Linked DNA regions of Canis lupus familiaris. The protein of the gene in region 1 interacts with the protein of each later gene in a pairwise test. Links are inferred from orthologs where the notes say so. Each region holds a gene or a part of one and is shown in the gene's direction. Other genes may lie near its edges.

Region 1 (4,256 bases):
GCTATGCAAGCTAAGTCTACAAGAATGGAGAACTTGCTAGAAAAACAATATGAAAGGCATTCCAGAAAGAAGGAATCGCCTTGGCAAAGGTCCTGAGACTTGCAAGAGCCTTGGAGCGATGGAACCTTTAAGAGGTTAATATGGCTGGAGCAGGGGCGCCTGGGTGGCTCAGTGGTTGAGCATCTGCCTTCAGCTCAGGTGGTGGTCCCAGGATGCTGGGATCAAGTTTCACATCAGGCTCTCCGCGGGGAGCCTACTTCTCCCTCCGCCTTGTTTCTGCCTCTGTGTCTCTCATGAATAAATAAATAAAATCTTTTTTTAAAAAAATGGCTGGAGCAGAGGCTAAGAGTGTAGATTTCAATGTGCCTGGGTGCCCCCAAGTCAGAGAATTGCAACTTATTTCCTTACCAGTTTTGGGGACGCAGAAGCAGGAAGACTCAGCCTCCTCTGTCTGTCAGCGGAATGAGGAAGATTCAGGCTACTCCAGGCTCTGCGCAGTTTAAACCAAGTGTAGGGGCACCTGGGAGGTTCAGTGGTTGAGCGGCTGCCTTCAGCTCAGGTCCTGATCCCGAGGGATCCTGGGATTGAGTCCTGCTTCGGGCTCCCGGCAGGGAGCCTGCTTCTCCCTCTGCCTATGTCTCTGCCTCTCTCTGTGTCTCTCATGAATAAATAAAATCTTTAAAAAATAATAAATAAAAAATAAGCCAAGTGCAGAAACAAGGAAAGGGTTACAGCATAACCAAAGGCCCTGGGATGTGAGAATTGTGAACCTTCACCTGTTCACAGAGGGGTCATCATGGCTAAAGCATGGAGTATACATGGGTGCAGACAGCAGGCATTATTTTTAAGGGCCTCGAATGCCGGGTAGAAGAGCTTGAAATGTTTCCCAAGGGCAATGGGGAGTCATGGAGGGTGTGTGAGCAGAAGAGGTGAACAATGAGGTCTCTGTCTCTGGGGCCTGGGAGGGGAAGGGAGTCAAGGGGTGGGTGGCTGTAGAGTCCACGGAGAGAGAGGGGCTGGCATCCCGGTAGAGGGGAGAGGGTTGGGCTGTTATGGAGGGAGATGACGAGGCCCTTTAGAGATGGATGCAGGAAAAATGGGCAGGATGTAGGGGCGATCTGTGCCCTGAGGAATCCAGGAGAAGCAGCAGCTGGCAGAGGAAGCAGAGATGGGAGGGCCGGAGAGGCAGCGAACAAGAGTGGTGTGTTACAATTCAGTTCTTGGATGGTGCTCAGTCATGTGCAAGTTGCTTGTTAAAATTCCCATGACACTGTAGACAGATCCTATAATTAAAGCCCCCCCCCCCCATTTTACAGATAAGGAAACTGAGGCTCAGAGGCGGAAGAGACATGAGATTGGAGGCTGGGGCAAGGAAGGACCGACAGGTCAGGAGCTGGACATGTGTGTCCCACCGGGACTGGAGGAAGCTGATGTCCTTGAGGAGGAAATAGCACAATAACAAGTCACATGACCAGGGGAGGGGGCTTCCTGTTTCCCGGCCTCTCCCAAGCCAGCCTTGGCCAGCCCGGGGCCTAAGCAAGCAGTGGCCAGAGCTACCCCAAGAGTGTCCAGGGATTTGGGCTGCTGACCAAGGTATTCCTAGAGGTACAGAGGAGTAGCATTAGAGCAGGCTGAGGGGACCCAACCCCAAGATTGGGGCCTCCGACTCAAGAGGACCCTGGGGAGGAGAGGTGATTCTTGAAGTCCTCGAGCCAGGTCCAGATTGGGGACCGAGGGGAGCACAGAGGTAGTGAAAGATAAAGGAGGCAAAAGACAAGGGGAGGTGGGAACAAACTTGTGAGGTAGTGAGCTGCCTGTCAGGAGGGGTATTCAAATGTGCCAGCTCAACACTGGTAATTCAAGATCCCTCCCAGCGGGAGGAGATCGATGCTCATTTCATAGAAGAAGGTATTAAGGCTGTCATTCGCCCAGACCAACAAAGACAAGAGCCGAGATCAGGCTGCGGCTTTCGGAAAAAGAATCAGAGGACTGAATTCTGGACAGCAATGAGTGCCCGGGCCACGCGACCCCGAAGCCGGCGAGGGAGGCACGCGCCACCTGTAAGTGCCCCCTTCCCTGCCGCATCCAGCTCTTTGGGGTCACTCACCCCCTCGCCCCCGGCCTGGCTCGGAGCTTGGCCCTGTGGGTCATTTTCAGGGGGAGCTGGATCCCGTGGCGGAGAGTTCAGAGGAGGCTGAGGCAGCCAGCGGGAGCTCTGAGCTGGGCCCTGTGCCATCTCAGGAGAGCTGCGAGCCGAGGCTGCAGGGGCCAGAGGCAGAGGCCAGTGGGCAGGGCCTTGGGAACAGGTAAGGTCCCCTCCGTCTGGGCTCCCACTCCGGCCCTGGTGTGTCTTTCCTCCCCACAGATCTACCTGTGTTCCTCCCTTGCTCACACACACGCCGTAGCTTCCCACTGCCCTCCTTGCCCAACTTTCAAGGCCCCGGATAATGCACCCTCTGTGAGCCAGCCACCCCAGATGACCCCATTTCCAGAACCTTCTGTCTCTCACTTCACCACAGGACCAACAAAGAGGCTGAGGGGGACTCTAGCAGAGGACTGGCCCCATCTCCCGAGGGACCCCGCAAGCCTGCAGAGGAAGGCCACCAGGCCAGAGATGTAGCTCCACAGGATGGGGAGACTGTCCCCCCCAGGCCTGAAGCCTCTGACGTGTTTCAGGTTCTCCAGCATGCTCTGAGCTCCCTGGAGGCGGCGGCGGCTGCCTGGCGCCGCCGGCCCCCCAGCTGTCCTGGGCCCGGGGAGGCAGAGGACAGAAGTGAGGTGGGACCAAGGCCCTGCTTGGAGCAGGAGGGGGCAAGTGGTTGCCAGAGGGAGGCAGCCAGCCTGGCAGAGAGGAATGACTGGCTACGATTGGCCTTGGGCAGCCGAGAGGAGGAGCTGATTCGCACGCAGGCCTCCCTGCAGGCCATCCAGGGGGAGAAGGAGATGCTGCAGAGAGAGGTGAGGGTCTCGACGTATTGTGCTCTACCTCTGAGGGTTCTCTGTCTAAGGGGGAGGCGGGCCTGGCATAGGCAACCTTCCATTGTTTGTTCATTAGAAAAACTCTTACGGAGGGACGCCTGGGTGGCTCAGTGGTTGACTTGAGTTGAGCCTTTGACTCAGGTCATGATCCCAGGGTCCTGAGATCGAGTCCCACATCAGGTTCCCCACAGGGAGCCTGCCTCTCTCTCTGTGTCTCCTCTGAATAAATAAATAAAATCTAAAAAAAGAAAGAGAAAAACTTTTATGGAGCGTTGACTGCTGCAGAGCCCTGAACAAAGGTGCCTTGCCTTCTTAGATAAGGTGGTCAGAGATGCCCCTTGAGGAGGTGACACTTGAGCCAGGAGGTAAGGGAGGAGCCATGCAAGGATCTGGGGAAAGAGCATGCCAGGCGGAGAAGGAGCTCCCTTCCAGAGGTGGGAGTGTGAGTCAGGGAACAGTGAGCAAGCCAGTGTGGGGGTGAGGGGAGGGCAGGTTAGTGATGGGGGCAGATTTACACGGTCTGTGGGCTTCTGGGAGTTGGGCTTTGGCCCTGAGCCTGGTGGGCTCCTGGGGGGTTCCCCCTCGCCCCCCCACCCTCGCCCTCCCGCGGCAGAAAGGGGCGGGACCTGGTGCCGCGGTCACAGGCGCCCTCTGGTAGGCATGGGAGGAACAGCCGGCGGATCCGCGAGGCACTGGTCCAGACACCAGATGGTGGAAACTGTGGAGGTGGCACAAAGTGGGCAGATTCTGGGTGGTGTCGAAGGTGGAGCTGGCAGGTTTGGGTGTGAAAGCCAGAGAAGGGTTGAGGACAAGTCCTGGTTTGGGGGCCTGCGGGACTGGGAGCCAGAAATGCAGGACCAGGAGCTGTTGGGACCCTAATGAGTTCAAGAAACCCCTGAGCCACCCATGTAGGACCATCAAAGACACAGTTGTGGGGTCAGAATCCAGAGCTCAGGGGAGATGTCAGGACAAGAGAAACACATCCCGACCTCTTTAACATGTGGATGGAATCTAAAGCCATGTGGCTGAAGGAGATGGGGGAACAGGCCCTCATCTTGGGCAGGCCAAGGTGGCAAGATATGGGGCCACCAGAGCCCAGCCTAAGGGGTGGGGCCCACTTCCTGGCTGGGAAAGATGATCCCCGCTCCACATTCCTCTCCTCACCCCCACCCACATTCCTCTCCTCACCCCCACTGCCTCTGGCACCCACCACTCTGTTCTCTATAACTGTGAGTTCAATTTTTCGTTTTGTTTTATCTTAGATCCCAAATATAAGT
Region 2 (4,150 bases), on another chromosome or scaffold:
TATCTATTCTGATTTGTTTGGTGCCCATGCCAGAAGGAGCAATCACTGTAAGCTAGTGATAGCTGGTGATTAGTCCCCCTCCCCCACTGGCCCAAAATATGTATATAGTAAGTGCTCAGTCAATGACAATCCAAAGAATGAAAGTCTCCATCTGGATTAGAAAACAGGTTGGCTTCAGATTCAACAATGCCCTAGACCCAAACAGTGACTCACAGCTGTGAAATTTCCTCATCTCAAAGGGTGCTTAGAGTTCATTTATTCGAATCCTTTTTAAAAACCTGTGGTTTTTTCCATTGACATATTTAAGTGTTGGAAAGTGGAAAATCCACAAAAGCACAACAAAGAAATGAACTGCTATTATAAATGATTATACATGTGACATTGCAATTATGTACTTAATATGTAGTTATGTGTACATAGTGCTTTGAAACATACTTTTATTTTTATATTATAGTTGCACAGAGAGAGAGGCAGAGACACAGGCAGAGGGAGAAGCAGGCTCCATGCACCGGGAGCCTGATGTGGGATTCGATCCCGGGTCTCCAGGACCGCGCCCTGGGCCAAACGCAGGCGCTAAACCGCTGCGCCACCCAGGGATCCCTGAAACATACTTTTAAAAAGCTTTCTTTGCATTTTCCTCATACTTTAAATATCTTTAACTACATCATTTTTAATGACTGCATTACAGTCATCGGGACTGTGGGGATAATTAAGGGTACCTATCTCAAAGGGTTATGCCATGAGCACTGACCGGAGCTATGTCATGTGAAGAGACCCAGCATTTGTAAAAGGCTAGATAAACTTAGCTCTTCCGCAGGATGGCTTTATATAACCAATCCTTTTTTTTTTTTTTTTTTTTTTTTGCTGAGCATTGGAGTTATTTCCATTCTTTTGCTATGGCAAATAACGCTGGGCTATATTAATCTTTGCTCATATCTTTGGTCATTTCCTTAGTAAAGTTCAGGACTGCTGGGTTTGCACATTTCACAATTTCCCACTGAGCACGTAGGGGAACAGAGAGAGAAAGGGGCTGGCCCGGGCTCACACAGCGAGCTGCAAAGGCGGACCTGGAGACTAGCTGGGGAGCCCAAAGGGCGCCTCATCGTGTTGGGGACCGGGAGGAAGGCCTGGCCAAGGGAGAGAACCAGGCTCCAGAGCGGCGGCGGCCGCGGGAGCAGCAGGCCGGCGGGGCAGAGCGGCGCTGGGCTGGGGGGCGAGGCTGGGCGCTCGCTCGCGGGGCCCAAGCTAAGCGGTCGCCTGGCAACCCAGGCGGCGCGGCGTTCGAACGGAAGCGAGGAGCCAATCAGGATGTCCGGGGCAAACCATTCGGGCGGCGGGGGGAGAGCGGCGAGCTCACTTCCCTTTCCTCTGCGCCCCGGGGACCTCCGGGCCGGCGGGGGCCTGGGGACAGCCTGGTGCCCCGGTCCGTCTCGGGTACGCGCAGCCGCTCGGAGGAGGCCCCTGCGGGCCCCCACGCCGGGTTGGGGCGCACCGAGCCGCCTTGGACGCGGCCATTCCCAGCCCGGGTCCGAGCTGTCAGCCTCTTCCAAGACCCGCACGGGCGGAGCCGGGACTCGCCGAGCTCGGGCTTCAGGTGAGGGGGCGGGTGGTCTGGGTCGGAGGGGGTCCGGTCGCCGAGCGCCTGCTGTATACGTCCTCCCGGCGTCGTACGTGCGGGAGGAGGTGGTACCCCATTTCACCGAGGAGAACGCTGAGGCGCCCGGAGGCAAGTGTCCCATCCCTGGCTGAGAATCCAGTTCACATCTTTCAGCTCCACCTCGAAATCTCCAGTCTGGGTAGACCCAGATTTGCCTGGAGAGGTCCAGACGCTCAACTGGTGGTCAGCTCCTCAGCCTGCAAGGCTGCTATGCCCTGGAGCCCAGGCTGGATCACCTACCTCCTGCGCCGCTCCTGCATTGCCCCCTGGGTGCCCCCTCTGGGCATCTGTCTTCCCTTCTCTAGGACGCCAGAGGTTGGATTCAGGGCTCGTTTGGGGTCCTTCTGCCCACAGGGTACTGAATCGCAGTGCCATCTCAAAGGGCTGTTTTGGGGGATCCGACTGGACCGACGTGTCTTGGTTAGGTGCTAGGTGGGCAGCAGGTGCTTTGGCCCTGGAACCACTGTTAGATTCTTGAGAATCTGCTCCAGGCTGGGGGAAATGGGTAAAGGCAGCCACTGAACGTTAAGCCACTAGTCAGCAGAGACTTTGGAGTTCAGGATGGGGCTGCTGACACCTCTGGCTGGAGCAGCATACGTAGACCAGGCCCTGACTCCTGGGGATGCTCTGGGAACTCAGAAAGAAAATAAGTCTTTCATTTATTCTTTCAACAAATATTTATTGACTTTGTATGCCATGCCCTGCCCTCCCCTTTGTCTATTTTGTTTCTCTCAGTGGCATTTGCCCATCTAATGTCCTCTGTATTTCACTTATTAGGGAGTTGATATCTTCTTCCACTGGAATGTGATAGGAGGAGGGGCTAAGGTGGCCTCCCGGGCAAAATTGAGGGGTGCCAAAACCTCTAATCAAGATAACTAAAGCTAACAGTTATTATTTTCTTAAAGATTTATTTATTTTAGAGAGAGAGAGATGGAGTGTGGGAGTGGGTTGGGGGATTGAGGGTGAGGGGGCAGAGGCAGAGGGGGAGGAGAAACAGATCCTCCTTTTGCAGGGGAGTTCAAGGGGGGAGGAGGGGAAGCTGGATCCTAGGACCCTGAGATCATGACCTGAATGGAAACCAAGACTTGGAAGCTCAACCGACTGAGCCACCCAGGTGCCCTAAAGCTAACTGTTACTATTTGCTGCGTGTTCTGCTGGTAGAGATCAACTCACATGGCCTCTATGGAACACAGTACACCGTCTCTGTCACGATTACAAGCACGTCCTCAGCCCAGCTGTCTCACTTCTAGGCAACGCAATGTAGGTGCAGTGACGCCGCAGGCTGGTTTGTAATAGGGCAGGTCTGGACACACACTAAATGGTCATCAGCAGGGGCTGACGAGCTCTTTATGTTACTGATGTGCCACCACACATATTTTTGGACAACATATATTATTAAGTATATTAATACATATATTAGAATTAATACTATATTAACATTATTAAAACAACATGTATTATTGAGTAAAAAGAGCAAGGTGAATACAGTACACACAGCATGTTGCCATATGTGTACAAAAATAGAAAGAATTTATACTCATTATTGCTTGATCTGCCTAAAATCTCCCTGGAAGGACACACAGTTGTCTGGTTACAGTGGCACCTGCAGGGAGGGGAACTGGGTGGCTGGGGACAGGGGTGGGAAAGAGTTTGTTTTTTACTTCATTCTCTTCATAGTTTTTGAATTTTGAGTCATGGGCATATATCATCTGGTTGCATTATATACATATGAATCATTATAGATGATATATTTGATCATAAGACCAGTGCCCCATCTGTGATCTGTCATTGACTTGCTGTGTGACTTTGGGAAAGTTTCTTCACCTCTCTGGGCCAAGATAAGAAGCCATGATGGCAAACTCAGGTCTGGGAAGAAGGCAGTCCAGGACAGGAAGTGGGCTTGCCCCGGAGTCTACCCCAACCTCCACCTTCACTATCCTTGTGAGCCAGGACCTTCCCTGAGGCTTTGCATGCAGTCTCTGTCTCCACTGCAAGCCCGTTTGTCCTCATTTTGCAACTTCAGGTACACACTGAGGCACAGATAATTGAGCTGGTGGAGCTGAGCTGTCCGCTGGCCGATAGAAGATCAGTGCTTCAGGCGTCTGTGCCCACAGCCCTCCTTCAGTCCGCTCACCTCTCTCTTTCTGAGATGTGTGCAAGTGTGCCCTGGGCAAGGCCCACTGCAAGCAGGTCAGGGCATGAGTGTCTGGGGAGACTCCAGAAATAGCACGGAGCCTGGCGTGGCCCTGGAGGATGCCCAGCTGGGTGTCTCTGACCCGGACAGCTGGGCTGAAATCGAGCTGGCCTGCCCTATTGGCTGGCCCCCTCCCTGCTGCCTGGAGCCTTCCTGATCCTCCTCTGGGGCAGGTGAGGGCCTCCCTGTCTCCACCCAAGTCAGGGCCTGGCTTCTGCCGAATGGAAAGAGCGAAGCAGGTGGAAGGAAGGGGTGGGGTGGGGGGTGCAGAATGTCATGAAAACTATAAACGTCGAAGC
Region 3 (4,150 bases), on another chromosome or scaffold:
GGAAAAGCCAATTCAGAGGTCAAAAAACGGAAAGTGGAATTGGTTAGGGTTAGGCCAACATTCTCTTTCTTTAGGGAAGGGGGATTGACTAAATTTTTCTCCAAAAGCCTGTCACCTGAGTCTTAAGACCAACAGCCGCACTATTCGCCTTTAACTGCCTGACAGGTGCCCGGTTCTGCTGTTTGTTACAAAAGGTTACCCGAAGGAGAGACATCTTCCAGAAAATAAAGGATAGAGTCCACATTTACTCACCCTTTGATGGGAGGTCCCAGGTTTTGGCACCAAAATGATACGGGAGAGCTTGGTTCTTATGGAGTTGAACGAATCTCCAGGACAACAGAGGGAGCAAAGCCATAGAGGTTTATTAAGCAAGATAGAAAACTCTCAAAAGTGAGAGGGGTCCTGACAGGGTTGCCACTAAGGGCTTTTATGTTTTGTTTTGTTTTTGTTTTTTTAAGATTTTATTTATTCACAAGAGACACACAGAGAAAGGCAGAGACATAAGAAGAGGGAGCAGAAGCAGGCTCCATGCGGGGAGCCCCATGCGGAACTCGATCCTGGGACTCCGGGATCACACCTTGAGCCAAAGGCAGAGGTGCAACCACTAAGCCACGCGGGTGTCCCTATGGTCTGTCTTTTATAGGGAACTGACCAGGAACTTGGTAAATTTCTTATCCATATCAGGGTGGACTTGTATATATCATGTCTTTATTTAGAACAAACATGGTGGACTTGTAACAACAAGATGTTTCTTTGTAAACATCATAAGCACAAACAAGTGTTCCCTTCTCTCTGGTTAAGAGCTCCTCCATATTTCTCTACATCTGGGGTTTCTGTGAGCCTAGTAGCCATTAAAGGGGAACACCCCCTAACATTTTGGAACTAGGGAGCCAGGATTTTTTGGTTTTTTTACGGTCTTACCTGTTTCCTTCGGATGGGTAGGAGCCTCTGGGGCCTTTTGGTGTCCTTGGGGTTTATGGGAACCCACAGATTCCTGGAAGCCTGACTCTAGACCTTTCCCTTATCTTTTCCTACCTAGCCCTGTCTGCTCCTAACTTGTTCCTACATCAATATCATGCAATTGTGAATCACTGAATACAAAGTTTTATATAAACATTTAGGGATGGAGCATATGTTCAGGGAAAAAAGGATACCCTGTTGGGACCCCTCTCTCTCACTTTTGAGAGTTTTCTCTGAAGTGCTATTATCTGCTTAATAAACCTCTATCGTTTTGATGTCCATTTTGAATTTTAAAGTTTTCACCGAAAGAACTATGGCAAGCATATCTTCTTTTGTGTACCAATCATGTGACCTGGGCAAGTCCCTCAAGACTTCCAGAGACGGATCTCTTCCTACGTAAGAATGGCGATACTACAGAACGCGGCTGCTGTGGAGAGTAAACGGGATGGAGGTCTAGAAAGGTGCCCGGCCCGGGAGAGGGGAGCAGGGTGCGGCGTTCCTTCCCCTGCCCTCGAGCGCACGGCTTCCCGCACCTGGGGAGAGCTCCCAAATACCAGCTCCAGGCTGGCCACCTAACTGGGCGTGGGAAGCGACCTAAGCGCCAGGCTTTCCCGCAACGCCAGCTCCTGCCGCAGGGCGGCCGCTGTCCCCACCCCTTCCCGGCGGCCTCAGGGGGCTGCGCGAACTTCGAAACCTAACTGCGCCGGACGGGGTGGGGTGGGCATTGGGCAGGATCCCCGGCGGGGCGGGGCGGGGCGGGGCGGGGCGTCCCTCCGGGCCGGCTCCACCCGGCGCATGCGCAGACAGCGACCTCCGCCGTCAGCGGGAGAGCCATCGCTTCCCACGCCCACCGCGGGAACCGCAGCTCAGAGTCCCCGCGCGTCAGGACGCAGCGCGCGCCGGCGGCCGCCAGGGGGCGGGGCTTGGCGAGGAGCGACGGGTCTTGGCGCCAATCGCTGGGCTGCTCCCGCCTTCGGGCTCGATTTGAAATTCCGCGGAGGGCTAACGGCTCGGAGCCCCGGCTTGGAGCGGGACTGTGGTGCGTGTGCGAGGTTGCTGCGCTCAGCTCCGCGTGGAGGAGGTCTGGGGCCTCGACGGTCGGCTGCTGGGAGCGTCCGCCATGAGGAGGAGGTGCGGGTTGCAGGAGGGTCGAGGGAGCGACGCCTGGCCCGGGAGCGGGGGGCCCCGAGGCGGCCCCGGGGCGCGGGGGCGTACGTGAACGGGCGTCGAGTGCAGCCGGGGCGCGGCCGGCGGGGCTGGGTGGCGCTGAGCTGGCGCAGGTGCGAGGGGCCCCGACGCGGCAGGGCAAGGCCTGCAGTGCCCCGGGCCCGGCGGGGGCCCCCCACACCCCGACGCCCGGGAGGCCCCGACGCTCCAAGTGTCCGCGAGCCCCGCCCGCCCGCCCGCCTGCCTCCCTCTCAGATGCTGCCTCTCGGCTCGGCACCGGCGCAGCCGCTCTTGGTGGGCCGCTCCCTCGCCTCTCTTTAAATAACGCCGTCAGGTCGTTGATCCGCGTGTCCTCCGCGGGGTGGGCTGCCGCGCCAACGTCCCCGACTTGGACAGGGAGCCGGGTTCCCTTGGGAGTCCAGAAACTCCACTGAGGAGTCACTCGCCACGCCGAATGTCCGCTGTCTCTTCACCGGTCTCTGCTCCGTTTTTCCCTCCGTAGCACTTACTGCCCTTTACTGGAAGGTTTGCTTATTTGTCACTTTTTTTGTTGTTATTAGTGTGCAAACTCCAAAAGGACAGAGATGTCACTTTTCTAAAATAATAATACCAAGGGTATAGGGCTTTTGTGTGGAGAGTGGTGAAGACGTTAGCCCTACTTTCTGAAAGCGGTGGGTGAGGCACTGAGATGATTCATTACTGGTTGGTAGTTACTGGTCAGGCTGATCATTCTGTGGCTGTAGAAGCTGCTGCTGCTTCCCTAATTTCGAATTCTCATCGTTCTTTTTCAGGTGGCTTGCCTTCCAGAGAATGGAAAATGAGTACAAATCATGGTACCATTGTAAAAACAGCCAGGGTTTTTTGTTTTGTTTTTAAAGGTTTTATTAATTTATTCATGAGAGACGCAGAGAGAGGGACAGAGACAGGCCGAGGGAGAAGCAGGCTCCATGCAGGGAGCTCCATGCGGGACTCGATCCCGGATCTCCAGGATCACGACCTGAGCCAAAGGCAGATGCTCAACCACTGAGCCACTCAGGTGGCCCAACAGCCAGGGTTTTAAAATTAATGTCAGTAACTGCTGTAATTTATTTATTTTTAAAATTTTGTTTATTCATGAAAGACACAGAGAGGCAGAGACACAGGCAGAAGGAGAAGCAGGCTCCACGTAGGGAACCCCACGCGGGATTCGTTCGGGGTCCCCAGGATCACACCCTGGGCTGAAGGCAGCGCTAAACCGCTGAGCCACCAGGGCTGCCTAGTAGCTGCTGTTATTTCTATTAAAAAAAAAAAAAAAAAAAAGCACATAATCTGCAGTTTGTTTTGGTTTGTGACTTAATTGAAAAACTTAGATATGTTTACTAATTAAGTTAGCTAAATTAGGAGCACCTGTGGTACCTGGGTCCTGGGATCAAGGGATACAACAGACTCCTTGCAGGAAGCCTGCTTCTCCCTCTGCCAATCTCTTGTTTCTCCTCTCTCTCACTCTCTCTCTCCCTCTCTGTGTCTCTTATGAATAAATTAAAATACAAACTTAAAAAAAATTAGCCAAATTACTTTTTACAGAATTAAATGACATGAGATTTGTAGATCTCGGGTCCAATTAAAACCAAAAACCAGGGATCCCTGGGTGGCGCAGCGGTTTGGCGCCTGCCTTTGGCCCAGGGCGCGATCCTGGAGACCCGGGATCGAGTCCCACGTCGGGCTCCCGGTGCATGGAGCCTGCTTCTCCCTCTGCCTGTGTCTCTGCCTCTCTCTCTCTCTCTGTGACTATCATGAATAAATAAATAAAATCTTTAAAAAAAAAAAAAAAAAAAAAAAAAACCAAAAACCAATTATCTGTACAGCAAATGGACCACTAACCTCCAGTGGATAGGTGGGCCACTAACTAAAAGCACTCTGCAGATAGTTGTTAAAATGAAAAGGTTAACCACCCCTTGGATTCTGTTACTTGAACAAATCTTAATGGGCCAGTTGGAAGATGGGTGTTTGGAATTAATAAATCTTCTAGTTCTCCAGTAGTTTT

Evidence for each region.
Region 2: the proteins of USHBP1 (region 1) and FAM110A interact in binary tests that used the Homo sapiens proteins (3 or more experiments, as listed by UniProt). The two-hybrid records come from large-scale screens. The link is inferred for Canis lupus familiaris from reciprocal best matches to the Homo sapiens genes USHBP1 and FAM110A.
Region 3: the proteins of USHBP1 (region 1) and PRC1 interact in a two-hybrid assay, tested with the Homo sapiens proteins (2 studies listed by BioGRID and IntAct). The link is inferred for Canis lupus familiaris from reciprocal best matches to the Homo sapiens genes USHBP1 and PRC1.

What each region holds. Positions count from the first base shown.
Region 1 is NC_049241.1:45,884,096-45,888,351, forward strand, and holds the start of USHBP1 (Usher syndrome type-1C protein-binding protein 1), read left to right. Parts: upstream 1-1,456; 5' UTR 1,457-1,593; intron 1,594-1,874; exon of another isoform or gene 1,875-1,932; 5' UTR 1,933-2,006; coding exon 2,007-2,060; intron 2,061-2,157; coding exon 2,158-2,306; intron 2,307-2,519; coding exon 2,520-2,958; intron 2,959-4,256.
Region 2 is NC_049245.1:20,607,904-20,612,053, reverse strand, and holds the start of FAM110A (protein FAM110A), read left to right. Parts: upstream 1-1,350; 5' UTR 1,351-1,594; intron 1,595-4,150.
Region 3 is NC_049224.1:53,738,582-53,742,731, forward strand, and holds the start of PRC1 (protein regulator of cytokinesis 1), read left to right. Parts: upstream 1-1,350; 5' UTR 1,351-1,362; coding exon 1,363-1,421; exon of another isoform or gene 1,422-1,689; intron 1,690-1,953; exon of another isoform or gene 1,954-2,080; coding exon of another isoform or gene 2,081-2,091; intron 2,092-2,922; exon of another isoform or gene 2,923-2,937; coding exon of another isoform or gene 2,938-2,960; intron 2,961-4,150. UniProt on the Homo sapiens protein: Key regulator of cytokinesis that cross-links antiparrallel microtubules at an average distance of 35 nM. Essential for controlling the spatiotemporal formation of the midzone and successful cytokinesis.